Linked DNA regions of Arabidopsis thaliana. The protein of the gene in region 2 interacts with the protein of the main gene of each other region in a pairwise test. Each region holds a gene or a part of one and is shown on either strand. Other genes may lie near its edges. The genes, in order: AGL62, PHE1, AGL28 and AGL97.

Region 1 (5,255 bases), on a different chromosome or scaffold from region 2:
AAATCTCTAAACTACAAAACTATCCAAATTTATTAATAAAAAATACATAGAAACTTTATTTAGAAACTAATCACTGGACTTGCTCTTAGTCCCATGATTTTAGAGAGACTAGCCTTTGAGGTTAATGTGGGAAACTTTTGTTCCTATAGCAGTTCCTTATGTTCGAATGTCATGTATCATATCATATGATTGGTTTATTCATTCCAAAGAATGATTTCGTGAGGTTTTGTTTTTGTATCAAAATATTGATTTTCCGTGGTATATTTAACGCATTTTTATTTTCAAGATCAATCAATTAATTTATGCTTTTAAATTTACAATAAATCAAAGTACATCATTTATTATTTTCAAGATAAGTGGAGCAAAAAGCAACTTGAGATTAACTTTTTAAAAGATATAGCACAAAAATAATTAATCAAAATATATAATTTATAATTTTCTAAATCTTGGTGAAAAACTCAGGAATTCATTATTTTAGGGAGTAATAATATAAAATATTGTATGATTTTCTTCTATATGATTTATTAATTATTTTAATTGGAATTGCATCTCGGCAATGACACAACGATGATTCTAGCAAATACCGCTAGGTTATTAGTCATGGTCTAAAGACTTCAATATTTTATATTATTTTTTTACATTTTATTTGATTAAACTAAAACCATTTGTATTTTTATTTTACATACTAATAAATATGTTACCAAAGAGTATAAAAGGTCTTTCAATTATGTGTATATATTAGTGAATTTTTCTAATCCTTTGGCAGTTTTCTATAAATAATATTTCTTAAAGTACGCAAATATGTTTATATAGCAAACAGTTCTCAAAAATATCACACTTAAGTTTGATCTTTCAAAAATACTACTTAAGTTTTTGGTTTTCCAAAAATATCACAAAACTAAATTAAATTTTCAACTTTCAAATCCTAACCTTAAACACTAAAATCCTACCCTTAAAAACTACACCCTAAATCTAAAATAGGTAACCCAAACCTAAAATTTTAAATTTTGAACTCTTGGACATCAATTTGTTGTTTTGTGGTATTTTTGAAAAACAAATTTTTTTTGGTAGTATCTTTGAAATATTAAACTAATAGTGACATTTTTGGCAACAAAACTTAAAAAATGTGGTATTTTGAAGAATTTATCTTATATAACAAATATACAAATTAATAATTACTGCAAAAGTAGTTTGTCTCGTCTAAATTTTATGGATTATATTTGTAGAAAATTATTGTTTCCTTTTTTAAATTATTTGGTATATTAACTATTTAAAAGTTTCATAAATAAGAATTTTAAGATATTTAGTTCAATCACATATTTCTAAAGATCTCATATATATTTATTATTTTATGATATCAGTATAACTATATTTACCATAATATTTATAACTCTAAAATCAATTTCAGAAAATATACCAATTAACTATCAAAAATAATAAGTTAACAAAAATCATTGTACCTCAGATAAAACTTTAATACTGTAATCAATACTGAAAGTTTTTAAGATTAATCAATTCTATCTAGTTCAGTATTATGATAAGATTCTTTTAAAGATCACTATTTTATGCATACTTTAATAAACATGCCCGTATTATATTATCATCGGTAAAATAATTTTAATTGGAGATATTATCTGAAACAACTACCATTTCACTATTTTTGGATGACATTTACATTCTACATAGATAAGTTGAATATTTCATATTAATTACTATATAATTGATATTTTGTGTAATTTAAGAGAATCTGGCTTCAAATTATCAAAAAATAATAAAGTCATTCAAATAATTTTTATCAATCCATCAAATGAGATAGGGGAGCTATAAATATTATTGGAAATAAGATATCACCATTTTATCATAAATATATGTTATTATCAGTAACAAATTTATCGCCAATAACAATAGAGGAATGTATTCCATTATTATTTTAAAAACAGAGTTAGTAAGTAATGTAACGGCATATATCTATTGTCAATTTATCAGAAATAATAATGAATTTGGAATGGTCTTCATATTCTATATAACGGTCCAAACAAAATAATTCTATCTTAAAGCTCTCAAAATTATAGTGTTATCTCATGGTATCCGTTTTTGACGATTTTCATTTTTTCTGTATTTATCACATAAATAACTAAGTTTTCTATATTCATAAAGGAACATTATTTAGTGCAAAATTCATAAACTCATTTCATCCGATAAACAATATATCGAATGTTTTTCCTTGAATCTAATCTTTTATAATATACTCTCTTAAAATAAATATATAAATAAACTATTTTTAGATGATAATTACATCATATAAAGGTTAGTGTGTATATATATATAAAGAGAGAAGGATATATGTGTATGGAACACAAAGAAATAGTTCATAGTCATGCCGGGCTTAATCATATATATATCTCAAACCTATCACAATTGTGGCCGAGTTGCTAGAATCACATAACAATTTTATCATAAATATTTTTCATTAGTGATAACAAATCAATCGCTAATAACGTAAGAAAAATATGTTCTATCTAAAAAGTAGCAAAGAATATGATTGCATAAATAATGTAACGGAGTATATTTGTTACAACAATTGCTAAAAAAATCATACAATCATTTTATCATAAATAGTTTTCATTATCGATAATAGATCAATCACCAATAACGAGAGAATACATAAGAAGACCCTTTAACAAAAAAAAACGAGAGAATACATGTTTTACTTTAGAAAATAGCGACAAATAATTTCAGATAACAATATAACGATTTTTTAATATATTAAAATATGAGATTAAGTTTAGAATATTAAACAATTAACGAAAATGATGTATCAGTAAATCAAAAACATATTGACCATATTACGCTTGTTACTTGTTAGTAATTTTTTTTACGCCGCCATTTTTGTTGCTATATTTAAAAAAAATATTCCAATAATATTACTATTAGATATGAAAAGATCACTACTAATTAAAGGTGGATCTTTCTGGCAGATTTGGATACATTGTACAAATGAAATGAGAAGATAATAGTCAAATAAATTTGTATTGCATACCATATATTGATTGAATATTAAGATTATGAAATGTTACAAAAATAGTAAAATTCAAATTCAAATAAAAATATAATAAATCAAAGTTGAAATTTACTCATAGACAACTCAAATATTAATTATTTGGTTTGTAATATTCTGCTATAAATACATGAGCATTTTCATTCTACAAACACCAATCCTATATTTTAGCTTCTCAAATATCACTAAAAATGGTGAAAAAAAGCAAAGGTCGTCAAAAAATAGAGATGGTCAAAATGAAAAATGAAAGTAACCTTCAAGTTACTTTTTCAAAAAGAAGATCTGGACTTTTCAAAAAGGCTAGTGAGCTTTGCACACTTTGTGGTGCAGAAGTGGCCATAGTTGTGTTCTCACCTGGTCGAAAAGTCTTTTCTTTTGGTCATCCAAATGTTGATTCTGTAATTGATCGATTCATAAACAATAACCCTCTACCTCCTCACCAACACAACAACATGCAACTTAGAGAAACTCGTCGAAATTCGATTGTTCAGGATCTGAATAATCATCTTACTCAGGTAATCTTACTCTTATTTTTAAGTATGATTAAAACAAAATAGTGTTTTCTATGAATCATAAAACCCAAATTTCTATGGTTAAATTCTTTTTTTATTTAATATATATAAGTAAAAGTTTTCGCAGGTGAATAAATAATATATAAAAAACATTAGACAGTCTTTTTCTCCATAACTAGAATAGATTTATATCCTAATAGTATGTTAGATAAAAATGCCGATGAAATGTTATAGAATCATATGGTATGAAAATTAATAATATTATTGGTGTTTTTATTTGTATATATATTTGCAGGTGTTGAGTCAATTAGAAACAGAGAAAAAGAAGTACGACGAGTTAAAGAAAATAAGAGAAAAGACAAAAGCCCTTGGGAATTGGTGGGAAGATCCCGTTGAGGAACTTGCGTTATCTCAACTCGAGGGGTTCAAAGGTAATCTTGAAAATTTGAAGAAAGTAGTTACAGTCGAAGCTTCCAGATTTTTTCAGGCAAATGTTCCAAACTTCTATGTGGGAAGTTCTAGTAATAATGCTGCTTTTGGGATTGATGATGGTAGTCATATCAACCCTGATATGGATCTCTTTAGCCAAAGAAGAATGATGGACATAAATGCCTTCAACTACAACCAGAACCAAATTCACCCTAATCATGCATTACCACCCTTTGGAAACAATGCTTATGGTATTAATGAAGGGTTTGTTCCAGAATACAATGTGAACTTCAGACCAGAGTATAACCCAAACCAAAACCAAATCCAAAACCAAAATCAAGTTCAAATCCAAATCCAAAACCAGAGTTTTAAGAGAGAAAACATCTCTGAATATGAACATCATCATGGTTATCCTCCCCAGTCTAGATCTGATTACTATTAACCCTTTGTTGTGTGATCCAACTTAAGTCTCTAGACAAAAAGTTGTGTGTTTAGGTTATCTTTATTTCTTCTTATTTATGTTTCTACATGTGTTGTTGTTGTTTTTCTTGTTCTTGTTTAAGTATTATGTTGTATTGTGTTGTTTCATTTCAAAATTATGTTATTGCTATATATAAATTATATGTGTCGGAAACAAATGCATTACGCCTCTGAAAATACTAGTCTGCCATGGTTACGTTTACGCATTTTGGGCAATTGCAGAATTTTAAACACAGAAAGGTAATAATCATAATCAATCATGTACTATTTTAAAATAAATTTGCAAAAAAGCATAATGAAAATTTCTGTGTGCACCATTTTTCAACTAAAATAGTACATACATTATCCCACATATTTTGGTACATTGTAAAAAATGAAATGACAGCATTACAATGGCTTTCCCTCTAATTTCATTCCTTATAATGATGAAATACAGATATTGTGAAATATTCCTAAAATGATAAAAATCTAATTCTAATATAGAAAATATAATAAAATTAATGTTAAATTTAAGGAAAATATAATAAAATTAAGGTTAACTTTTAGTTGAAAAAAAGGCTAAATCTATGTCACATCATTCTATTTAATTAATCCGTGCAGTATACTCTAATATTTATTTTCCTTAAAAAAGATTAAATCATCATCAAATATCTAGTATGTATTAGATATCAATCTAAAAATAAATAAAAAAATTGTAAGAACAATACAAGAGTATCCACATATGTAAGAACTTAAGAAATGAAATTTTCAAAATCAAGCAAAATACTTCAAAACTA
Region 2 (3,991 bases):
TATATTTGCGAGTCTTTTGATCCAAAAATCTTGTACAACGTGTCTCAATTCTGAAACAACAAAGCAGGGGAAGTGTGGAAACAATGTGAAAGAAGAGATTTTTAAGATTCCTTAATTTCTTTTATGGCCGTATCTTGCTAGGTTTTCTACTATTCTATGTTTTTTTCCACAAGCGTGCCAATATGTTGAAAGAAGCGTGTATTCCTAAAAAGGAATGAGGGCTTCATTTCCAACGTATTCATGTGTCACGGTTGTTTAGCTTAAGCTTAATTTGGAAACTACTAACTTCGTGGGGGTTTATTATGGGCGGTTCCGACAATATATTATCTGTTAGGATGGTAAGGATTCTACTCTAGGTTCCAAAACGTGGCAGAAGCTACTGAAGTTAAAACCAATTACGGCTGAGTATGTACATCAGGAGATCCACAATGGTCAGCACTATATATGTACTTTTGTCTTCGATTTTTTTATTCCCATGGGACGTCTTCTCGACTCATAGATGAGGTATGCATTAGAAAATTATGTGTGCCAAAGTATGCAAAGGTCTCACAAGTGGTCACCTAAACTACGTAGTTGAGAATTTGCTAGAAACATCTTGAAATAGCATGGTACACAAAATTGAAATCCTTTCTTTTTTGTGATCAACATTTGAATCCAACAAAAATATGGCAATAACATTCATAATCATTTTAGTTCAAATATAAGTAAGACGAAAACATGACATAGCCATAGCATATATATAGGCAAAACAAAGAAAGTTGACTTAATCAAAGCTATTTTAGATATTATAGGGTTTTTAATGACATCATATCTAAAGATTTGTTTCTTCTAAAGATACTGAAAACTCTTTATTTTGTAATGATTAAAATTATTCAAATTGAACTAAACCTTTTCAGGCAAATACATCAACGGAAATGAACTTAAAGGCAAAACCTTTAACTGTAGTACAATAATAAAAAAAAACATCACATAAATTTTATTTTCTGAAATGGAAAAATCAAAAGATGCAGATGATCAACCACTTCACTCGAAATACATCCCTTCGACTAGAGATCATTGATGATGTTAGGAGCACAAACATCAGTGGGGGCAGTGGTGACGGTAGCGAGACAATCGATTTCGGGGTGGTAGTTGTTGTTGTCCATGCAAGGAATGCCCTCGTCCTCTCCATCATTAAGATCCAAATTCATACTCTGATTTGGATCTATATTCATTTTCATGTTAAAATCATGAAGTTTCTTTGGAATCTGATCATAAAAATCATAAAGAGCCTGGTATTGGAATTGAACCGGCTCTTGCTGATTTTGGTTTTGATCTTGAATCATACGACCATCAAAACCGATTGGGACAGATGCATCCACAACAGTAGGAGCTACACCAATAGGAGGAGGTACAGATGAAGAAGACTCACCGTTCTCCTTAAGGATCTCAACCCTACGAATAACACCATTGAGATACTTGTTAAGAAATACATTCAAATCAAGAAGATCTCTTCCATGAAGATGAGACACGTCCACCTCTCCTTTGAGACAACCAAACATTAAATCTCGAATCTGAGAATTACGGTTCTCATCACGTAGCTTCTGGAGACGTTCTGTTTCTTTGGCGATCCTTTGACGTAAAAACGTCTCTTGATCCACCATCTTCTTGGTCCGGTCCAACACCGAAAACTCCATAAACTTCGACATCACTTCTTCAACGCCTTCCCTTGATGGCCAAGGCTCCTGGATCGAGTTGTACGGGCTACGGATGACCGCACATGCGTCAACACCACATAGAGTTACTAGCTCGTTGAATTTCTTCAGCATCCCTTTCTTCCTTTTGGTGAATGTTGTTTTCCTCACTGAATCATTTTCTATGAACGATAACTTCATCTTCCCCCTCATATCTCTTATCTTTTTCTTTTGTGTATTTTGCTTTGTCTTGTTAGCATGAGGAGGATGGTTTATATAGTCAATTTTCGAGTCAATAGATTTTTTATTGCTTTGCTGGATATGATTAATTGATTTTTTATTTTACTAATTTTTCAGGATTTGTATTAGTTTCACCCTTACGTGTAGGCATGTGATTGATGGTAAAGTGATAATCATTTATCTTTAGAGACAGCCCATATAGATATTTTACCTTTTGGGGGGCATATATAAAAACAAGATATATAGGAAAACAGTTGTATCACATATCTAATGAGATTTATACTTTATTTAGGAAGTCCATTGAAAGGAAAACAAATTACATCAAAGGTAATTTAAGATATTTCTTCAATCTCTAAATTTTTTCTATATGTTAATAGTTTATATAAACATAATTAATAAATAATTTAAAATACATGTAATATCAGTTGGATAGAAAGTAATGTTATGGCTAAACAGTGAAAGTAATGTTATTTTATTTTTTTTGTTTCGTTAAGACACATGCTATTATGTGTGTTATCGATTTTGGGTGTTATAACTGTGGGGAAGGGTCCAATAATACAAACCATAGCTGCCAAAAAAAATATTAGTAACTAAACATCAGATTCTAAAGACCACAAAATGTGAGCACATGCTATTGTAAAACCGTGATGTTATTATGAAATAGAGACTCTTATAAGGCAAATGACTGATACAAATTAAAGACGTGTTTGCAAAATAAGTCTAAGCATGAGTAAACATGCATGTTTTATTGAAATCTTTAACAGCAAAAAAAATACAAAAACTATCACTAGATCCTAGTGATATTAACTTTGAGACCATGTTGCATACGAAAAAGAACAGAAGGAACTGGTTCGGTTTTGTGCCCTTCAACGACCTTGATGTCATAGTTTCGTATGATTTCCGCAGCCACTGTCTTCATCTGTAAGAACGTTAACTTTTTCCCCAAGCAAGCTCTTGGACCGGCGTTAAACGCCAAGAACTTATATGAAGGTTCATGTTTTAACCTTCCACTGTCTGAAATCCATCTCTCTGGTCTGAAATCTTCTGCGTCATCTCCCCAAACAGATTTCATCCTCCCTAATGCATACATAGATATGACAATCTTCCATTTCTCATCTACTCTATGCCCACTTGGAAGTACGTCTGGCTTTGCCGGTGACTTGTGGTTAAATGGAACTGGTGGGTATAACCTTAGCGTCTCACACACGGCACCGTGTAGATACACGAGCTTTTCTAAATCTGCGGGATCAAACCTCGGCATCTTCTTGTTAACCTCTTGTCGGATCTTGTTTATTGCCTCAGGGTTCTTGGACATAAGCCAGAAGAACCAAGTGAGTGCTGAACTTGTTGTATCTCTTGCCGCTATCAAGAAACCCAAAATAGTGTCTTTGATGAATCTATCATCACTTGGTTCCAAGTACTTATATTTGGTCGTGTCCATAGTCATGTAGTATGTCAACACGTCTATGGCCTCTCCTCTTGAGGGATGATGAGTCCCATGACTATTGATCTCCTCTCGTTTAGCCGTTATGATCTTCTCGAGTAGTTGATCGAATACCGCTAGACCTCTTTTCAATCTTTTCTCTACTCCTACACCAATCAAATATTGGAGCCTCCACAAGAAAACCGGCTTAACATGTCTATAGAAAACCCCGTCAGAAACACCATCGACCGCGTCACCGAACTCAACCTTAGGCATTTCAACGGATAAACATTTTGGATCATACCCGGTCATCAAAATCAAAGATGTATCAAACAAGAATCTCTGGAACAAATCTTGCAAGTCGACAAGGATATTTTTATCAGCTGCGTTTTCAAGAATAGGAACAAGCCCTTGCCTTAATTTTCTTACACTTGTACTCACCCAGAACATTTGGAAATCTTGATTACTAAAAATGGCATGAGACGAGTTCCTCATATCCTCCCACAAACCCGAGTCAACGTTGAAAATTGAATCACCCACGACTTCGAAGATCTTCTTGAACTCCATTCCTTTGGGGTAGTTAGCAAAATTTGAGCTTAGAATGTAGTGGATATTCACCGGATCAACAGTAAGCAAGATGTCCATTCCGCTAAGA
Region 3 (3,975 bases), about 24 Mb from region 2:
ATTTAAAGAGAAAGGCTTTGGAGTGATCTGTGTTGATGTAATTGAATGAGCTGTCTTTTTGAGTTCCTGTCTGAGTGTAATTGCATGTGTGGTGACGGTGAGAGAAGGTTACCCGAAATGTCTATTTTACCCTTTTATGGAAAGTGGAAGATAGTAGAGTCTTTTATATAGTTTTGAGGAGTTTTTTGGTAATAAATCGATGTCGATAGCCGTTGGGGTGGTATGATAAGGTACGGTTCAGTGCAATTAACCAATCTGTGGATTACACATTGGTTAGTTTTTCGTTCTTGTTTTGACTATAATTGAACCTTGACGTTTGATTATTTAATTGCAAATTTTATATGGATATAAACATACTCATGGAATAATTATTGAGTTTACTTTATGAGAAACTAATCACTTTTGTTATGGGAACATGAGTGCACCAAAAAATCATTTGTTTGCTTCTGATACACATTATTATTGGTTTGTTCATAAAAAATATTTGTTATATATATAGGAAGAACATTTTTTTTTGTTTATGTCACATTAACACACAAATCGGATTTCTCATATCATATATGCAGTAAGTAGATAAAAAGACTGAAACTGCAAGTCAAGGTGATGAAGAGCCTGATTATCCTGAAAGTCAATGTTATGAGTAATGTTGTATTGTTACAGTTTTAATGGTGGATAAAAAAATTGTATCTTTGACACGATGGATTGTGTAGATCATTCGTTGAAACTTCGGAGGTCAAATGTATTACTATTTCATAATATTTGTGTCTTCAAAAAGTTTGGTTGGCTCTTAAAAGTAGAGCAATTAATGAGAGAATAATATTTAGTGTGGCCACGTATAATCTAGGTTTCCTCCTAAAAAGGGTTTAGGTGGGGCTAAAAGAGAAAACCCATTATTGCTCCAAACAAGTAAATTTTGTAGTATGCCAATAAGTCAATGATCAGCGGCGATGGTTGGTTTAGACTTTAGACTTTAGAGTCGTTTGGAAGTGCAAGCTTATGATATGTGGTATTTGGGCTTTTTTAAAAGTAGATTCTGAGCTAATAAATGTTGTCTTTTGCATTTGGATATTTCATTACCTGGGCTAGAATTTGTTTTTGTACAAACTCTAGCTTATAGAATCTTACTTAGTTTTCCCTAATCAGTTTTAGTTTGGTTCCTTGTTGGGCTTAAGACTTGTAATCTATATGCTAGAATCTTTTACATACTTGACTATTGAATACCATTACCGACCAAAAAAAGGAACCCAATCAGATTTGATTCCCACCGATAAATTGTAACAAGAAGGAAAAAGATATAACAAGAAACATGAGAAGTGTATACATTTTTAAAAATTCGTTTTTCAGGAGAGGTATATAGGTTATAGATTATCAATATATCATCATCATGTATAACAAGCAATTAGAGGCAGAGAAACATAGCCCATTAGGTAACGATCATGGGCTATATTAATCACGGCCCAAAACAAATTGTGTAAAAGTATACTATATTCAGAGATGATATAACAAATTGTGTATCACATATTAAATCTAATTTAATTATCACAACTTTTTTTTTGAAAAGTCAGCGATCAATTAAAATATCAAAACAACTATTTACTTAAATAAAATCTTGGAAAGTCGGACATAAAATTTCAATCATGTCATTTATCAACTTTCAATCATATTATTTTGTCAATTTGCTCTATAAAAACAAAAGTAAGTTGGACATAATATTTCATATATACACTATATGAATTTTATATAAAAAATTTGAACACTTAAAATAAATATAAAAGATCAAAAAGGATATTGATTATAGAAAAATAGTGGAAAATAAACACATGGAAAATATTTTTTAAGAAAATTGTGGATATCCTTCCCATATTTTAAAAAATTGACAGGCTGTAAACTTTAAAAAATGATAATGTTGGAGATAAAATAGAATATTGTATACCTTTTATTGACGAAATTTGTAAACCAATATATACTCCTAGAGTGGTAATTCATAATTTTGTTTCTTATAAATCACTATAGAAAAAAATATTTTCTTTCAATGCTCAAAACATATTTTGTAAAATTTAGTCTATAAATACAAATACCTATTATCTCTAATATAATCAACTCGCTTTTCTTTTTCTGTTCAAAACATCTCGAAAATGGCGAGAAAGAATCTTGGTCGTAGAAAAATAGAGTTGGTAAAAATGACCAACGAATCAAACCTTCAAGTTACGTTTTCAAAAAGAAGATCTGGTCTTTTCAAAAAAGGCAGTGAACTTTGCACCTTATGTGACGCGGAAATTGCGATAATCGTGTTTTCACCCTCGGGAAAAGCATACTCTTTTGGTCATCCAAATGTTAACAAGTTACTTGACCACTCTTTAGGGCGTGTTATAAGACACAACAACACAAACTTTGCTGAAAGCCGCACAAAGCTCCGTATTCAAATGCTCAATGAGTCTTTAACTGAGGTAAGTTTTAAGTTTTGGCATTATCTAATCTTTATTTCTTCTCTCTTTTATTTTTCAATTTAGATAAAAAATTATTATATAAGTGTTTCACAATTTGTTTTTGATTTGTAAAAGAAATGGTAAACCTCCTTTGCATATTTATTTCCTCAACAAAGTAAATTAAGAATGAAAATTTTGGTGGGTTCAATTTTTGTTTAAGTCATAGTCATGGATTCACGGATTTTCTTTACACATTCATTATTCATGAAATTAATTGTTTAAAATACAATTTTATCTTAGGTGATGGCTGAAAAAGAAAAAGAACAAGAGACCAAGCAGTCAATAGTCCAAAATGAAAGAGAGAACAAGGACGCTGAGAAGTGGTGGAGGAACTCTCCAACAGAACTCAACTTAGCTCAATCAACTTCCATGAAATGTGATCTTGAAGCTTTGAAGAAGGAAGTTGATGAAAAAGTCGCTCAACTTCATCATAGAAACCTAAACTTCTATGTTGGAAGTTCTAGCAATGTTGCTGCTCCAGCAGCTGTTAGTGGTGGTAATATCTCCACAAACCATGGTTTCTTTGATCAAAACGGAAACTCTACTTCTGCTCCAACACTGCCGTTTGGATTTAATGTTATGAATCGCACACCAGCTGGGTACAACAGTTACCAACTCCAAAACCAGGAGGTTAAACAAGTCCATCCTCAGTATTGGGCTCGTTACTATTAGTCTATCTCTCTCGTTGTGTGACTTTTTAAGTCTCCAATAGTTTGTTCTGCTTTTTGTTTTGTTTTTGTTTGTTGTTGTTGTTGTTGTCGGGCTTTTAATTAAGTCTCGAGTCAACTAGTTTCTTGTTTCTTTTCGTTATACTTTGTCTTGTAGCTTTATATCATTTTCTTGTGGAATATGAGTAAGCTATATGAAGTTTCATATTATGTCATTAGTCCATTCCGTATAAAAACCTAAGCAACAACTGAATATTACAAAAAAGCTAGTGACTTTCTACACAGGCTTTATCTGAAGTAATTTTCAAAACTAGTTATGTCATTAGTCCATTCCGTATAAAAACCTAAGCAACAACTGAATATTACAAAAAAGCTAGTGACTTTCTACACAGGCTTTATCTGTCTTCTAAGACGTTCTAAACTATTGAGACTTATATGTACAACCGGTTCATTCATTCATATCCCATGAGACTACCATTAGAGACTTCTCTCTATCGTTTAGTTCTAACTGGCGTTGTAAGATGATATCAACTTCCGCTGTAATAAACAGAGAAAATTTGTTTACTCTTCAATATTCTCAAGAGTCAAAATGTAACAAAGAGTCGACTAGCTCTTACTTGTTCATCAAACTCGGGACTCGTCAGGTTTACAGATAAATTTTTCATCAGTAAGAGAACCTGTTGAACAAAAAACCGTGTAAACGTTAGTTTTCAAATCAAGACATGTTCATGTGCAGAGTTATTGGTTTTCATACCGTCTCAAGATTTATTGGATCCATTTCCTTTAATCTCTTGACATGACCTGTTGTTTTAGGATCAAAC
Region 4 (3,802 bases), 7.0 Mb from region 2:
TGTGTTGTAAGTCTAAGTTAGAGTAGAAGAGTGAATCAAGGAGTGAGAGTTCCAATGTATGTAGAAGTAGGTCTTGTGTAAGAGCCATCATTAGGTCTAAGTGCAAGTGTGCAAGTGTGTGTGTGTCTCAAGTAGAAGTAGTTTATGTATGTGTGTCCTTGTGTTGTGTAAGAGTAACCAAGTAATTAACAATGTAGTCTTTGGAGGAAAACGCTTTTGTGTCTCTCTAGAACAAAGAATAAAATCTGTGTGAGAGACAAGAGAGCAAGAGATCTAACTAAAGTGGTTAGATATGTGAGAATTACAACACAATGTCATATATGTATACATCAGAATATTAAACCTACAAAACAAAAGTAGCTCTGGAAATCTCAATAATGTAGTCTCTTAGAAGGATCCACAAAGGCCACAGAGAAGAAAACATAATGCTTAATAACAAAGATGAACAATGTGGATTTTGCCAGAATATTTATGGCTGTGAGCTTGTTTCTTCAAGAAGTCTCTACCTTTTAACTTCTCAAAAATCAAGTTTCTTAAACAAGTCTTCAATGCTGAGGATGTCACAGAAGAAGTCTTCAACAAACCTGTAGCCATGTTTTGATCACAGAAGAATCAGTACTTATATGTTTCTAATTGATACAAGATTCTTCTCCAGCAAAACCCTGATTTCTTCTTCCAAATCTCACTTGTTCTTCTTTCAGAATCTTCCATACGAATCTTTGATTCTGTTGTAATTCTCACAATCTCTCTATTTCTCACACTCCTTTACGGTTTCATTGTCTTTAGAGAGAAAGAACAAAAACTATTTTCTTTTAATCTTCTACTTTGATAATATTCTTGGATACTCTTACACAACACAAACAACACATACATATAGTGGTTTTGCTCCACTTGGTAGACTACACACACTTAGACTCTAGACCACATCATTGTCCTAAGACTTACATCATCCACTCTACTATGTTGGAACTCCAACACCTTAATTCACTCTCTTAGTTTACTTTAGTTGTCACAACCTCTTCTTGTTGGACCTTAACTAGACAACTTGTACAAAACACTTATTCGTATGGGCCTTATCTCATTACCTATGACCCAACACACAAAACACAAACCCATTTGGTTTGTTGACTTTCTTCTCTTCCTTTGACTCCTCTCTTCACGACGTCTCTTCTCCGCCATCGTCTTCTTCTTCCGTTGCTTCTTCCTTTGTTCTTCATCTTCTTCTTCTCACCAAGCTTGTTATTCTTGTAGGATTTAGTTTAGGATACTCAATTCCAACAGATTCTCGTAATCTCCATATCTAGATCCTCTTCCGAATCCGTAATCACCAATTCACCATTATCAACCAAAAGCTTGAGTTTTTGTTGTGTATCGGACATTGATTCACCAGCATAAAACAGAGATTCCATACTAGGGTTTGAGATTGTATTCTTCAATACTGTGTCGTCTTCTTCTTCCTCACAAAGTTTGCAATTTTGGTTTTTGGATTCGTAACGGTCACAAAGAGAAGAAGAGAGGCTCCTAAATATTTTGTTGTATTGACGCTTTTACCCTTCATAACGGTCTTATTTTATTGACCGTTGACCAAACCGGTTAAAGGAAGAATTTGCATGTTGGTTTACTCGTCCTCCTTCGCTTATTAGACAATCAGTAGTAAACAAATTCACCGACTAAACCAAAAATTCCACTAAATACAGATTCGGTTTAACTAAACCGGTCTTTGTTTGTATTAGATGGTTTTGAGTAATTTACTTTTAGAAAAGGAAACAGTTTTAATTTTTCGTTTAATTACCGATTAGGGTATTATCAGTAAAAAAGGAAATCAAAATCGATGTTGTTTCAGGTGGTTTTGTGTACTAATTACTTTCAAAAAAGGAAAACAAGTTTATTTAGTCGTTTAATTACTGATTAGCAATTATCAGAAAAAGGAAATAACATGGATTAATTAGAAAACGAGTTAGGGCTACTAAGTCTATATATATATCTATCTGATTAGAACGAGAGTGAGTCCATTATCATATTCTTCTTTCGCAACAAGCGGCAGCACACAAAACTCTCAAGTCTTGTCTCGTTCTCTTTTGTTTGTGAAACTGAGAAAAAAAACAGAATGGGTGGCGTGAAGAGGAAGATTGCTATAGAGAAGATACAGAACAAAAATCCACGAGCGGTTTCATTCTCCAAACGTCGTAAGGGTCTGTATAGCAAAGCTTCTGAACTTTGTCTTCTCTCGGACGCAGAGATTGCGATCATAGCGACTCCTGTTTCTTCTAATTCCAACGCCGCTTTCTACAGTTTTGGCCACTCCTCTGTTGATAATGTCGTCGCTGCTTTTCTCGCCAATCAGCGTCCTTGTGATGAAAGGTTTTGGTGGGAAGATGAGAGTCTTCTAAAATCAGAGAATCTGGAGGAGTTGAGAGAGGCGATGGATTCAATGTCGACTATGTTGCGAGATCTCAAGGAGTTGGAGAAGCAAAGAGATCATCAAACGCAAACCCTAATTCATCAGCCGTGTTCTGCAAGGGTTTGCATTCAAGATTATGTAACTGTGAATTTCGATGGGTTTAACACGGAAGAGCAAACCCTAGCGGTTTCTGACAATAGTAACAACAACGGTTTACTTGGAAACTTGGATGAGTGCAATGAAGATTTTGATGATCTCGATCAAATCTTCGATACGGTGACAAACTCTGAATTTTTATCGGTGAATTTGGAGATGGATGATGTAACTGTGAATTCTGAAGGGAACACGGAAGAGCAAACCCTAGCGGTTTCTGACAATAGCAACAACAACGGTTTACTTGGAAACTTGGATGAGTGCAATGAAGATTTTGATGATCTCGATCAAATCATTGAGTATTTGACAAGCTCTGAAGCTTTATCCATGAATTTAAAGATGGATGATGTCTGATGCATGCCTCTATGGTGACAATTTGTGTTTATGTTGAAATTGGATCCTTGATTTAAGTATTGCTTCGGTTTAGTATATCTTTGTATGTCTTTTATCAGCTTATGACTTTATTTGATCTGCGTGATATTTTCGTATATCTAACCAAAACATAAGAGCATCCCCAACCACAATACACCAAATTTTAACACCAAATTTGATATTTTGGTGTTTCAATTGTTTTATCATCTCCAACCATAACACCAATTTCACACTAAAAATATTACTTTTTATTATAATATTATTAAACTTAAGATTTTCTTTATTTTTTTAATAGTTTGATATACATAACATATTTCATAACTAAATTATTTTAACTTAATTAATATAAGATTACAATCGATAAATTGAAAATAACAAAAAAAAATTACATTGTACTAATTCTCAGAATTAGTATATACGGACCACAAGTGTTCAATTAATGCATTTCGAAGTTTAATATGAGCTTCACGGTCTTTGATTTTCCTGTGTCGAGCTAAAAATTCTTGAAATCGACCATCATCGATCGTCTCCCGCCGTTTCATCTTCTAGAGTTGGGACCTCGGCTCTTTCTTCAATACTTGCATCAAAATCACGTTCATCCTCTATGTCATATTATGCATTATGATACAAGTAGTTATAATATCATGTAACACTTTCTTACTCCATAAACGTGTTGGTCCAGCCACAATTGCAAAATCTGAGATCTTTCATAGTCAACCAAGACCAAAAAGATCTTTACAAACTCGAATGACAACGATTCTTTCTGCTGTCTCCAAGCTAAGAGGATGTGTAACCAGATTGAAAACAAGAATCCTAGCGGTGCTTCCGAGCATGACATTGTAAGTATACATACTTGAGTTAGTTGTTCATGCTCTA

What was found.
Region 1: the proteins of PHE1 (region 2) and AGL62 interact in a two-hybrid assay, tested with the Arabidopsis thaliana proteins (one large-scale study listed by BioGRID).
Region 3: the proteins of PHE1 (region 2) and AGL28 interact in a two-hybrid assay, tested with the Arabidopsis thaliana proteins (one large-scale study listed by BioGRID).
Region 4: the proteins of PHE1 (region 2) and AGL97 interact in a two-hybrid assay, tested with the Arabidopsis thaliana proteins (one large-scale study listed by BioGRID).

Annotation. Positions count from the first base shown.
Region 1 is NC_003076.8:24,303,080-24,308,334, forward strand, and holds AGL62 (AGAMOUS-like 62), read left to right. Parts: upstream 1-2,301; 5' UTR 2,302-3,249; coding exon 3,250-3,573; intron 3,574-3,865; coding exon 3,866-4,441; 3' UTR 4,442-4,637; downstream 4,638-5,255.
Region 2 is NC_003070.9:24,265,435-24,269,425, forward strand, and holds PHE1 (MADS-box transcription factor family protein), read right to left. Parts: upstream 1,903-3,991; 5' UTR 1,887-1,902; coding exon 1,047-1,886; 3' UTR 823-1,046; downstream 1-822. Other genes in the region: CYP96A3 (cytochrome P450, family 96, subfamily A, polypeptide 3), read right to left, coding at 2,701-3,991. UniProt on the Arabidopsis thaliana protein: Probable transcription factor involved in the development of gametophytes and seeds.
Region 3 is NC_003070.9:191,823-195,797, reverse strand, and holds AGL28 (AGAMOUS-like 28), read left to right. Parts: upstream 1-2,127; 5' UTR 2,128-2,135; coding exon 2,136-2,447; intron 2,448-2,726; coding exon 2,727-3,158; 3' UTR 3,159-3,164; downstream 3,165-3,975. Other genes in the region: ASG4 (Homeodomain-like superfamily protein), read right to left, coding at 3,739-3,831, 3,909-3,975. UniProt on the Arabidopsis thaliana protein: Probable transcription factor that may function as a floral promoter operating upstream of known floral activators in the autonomous pathway.
Region 4 is NC_003070.9:17,231,241-17,235,042, reverse strand, and holds AGL97 (AGAMOUS-like 97), read left to right. Parts: upstream 1-2,091; 5' UTR 2,092-2,107; coding exon 2,108-2,908; downstream 2,909-3,802. UniProt on the Arabidopsis thaliana protein: Putative transcription factor.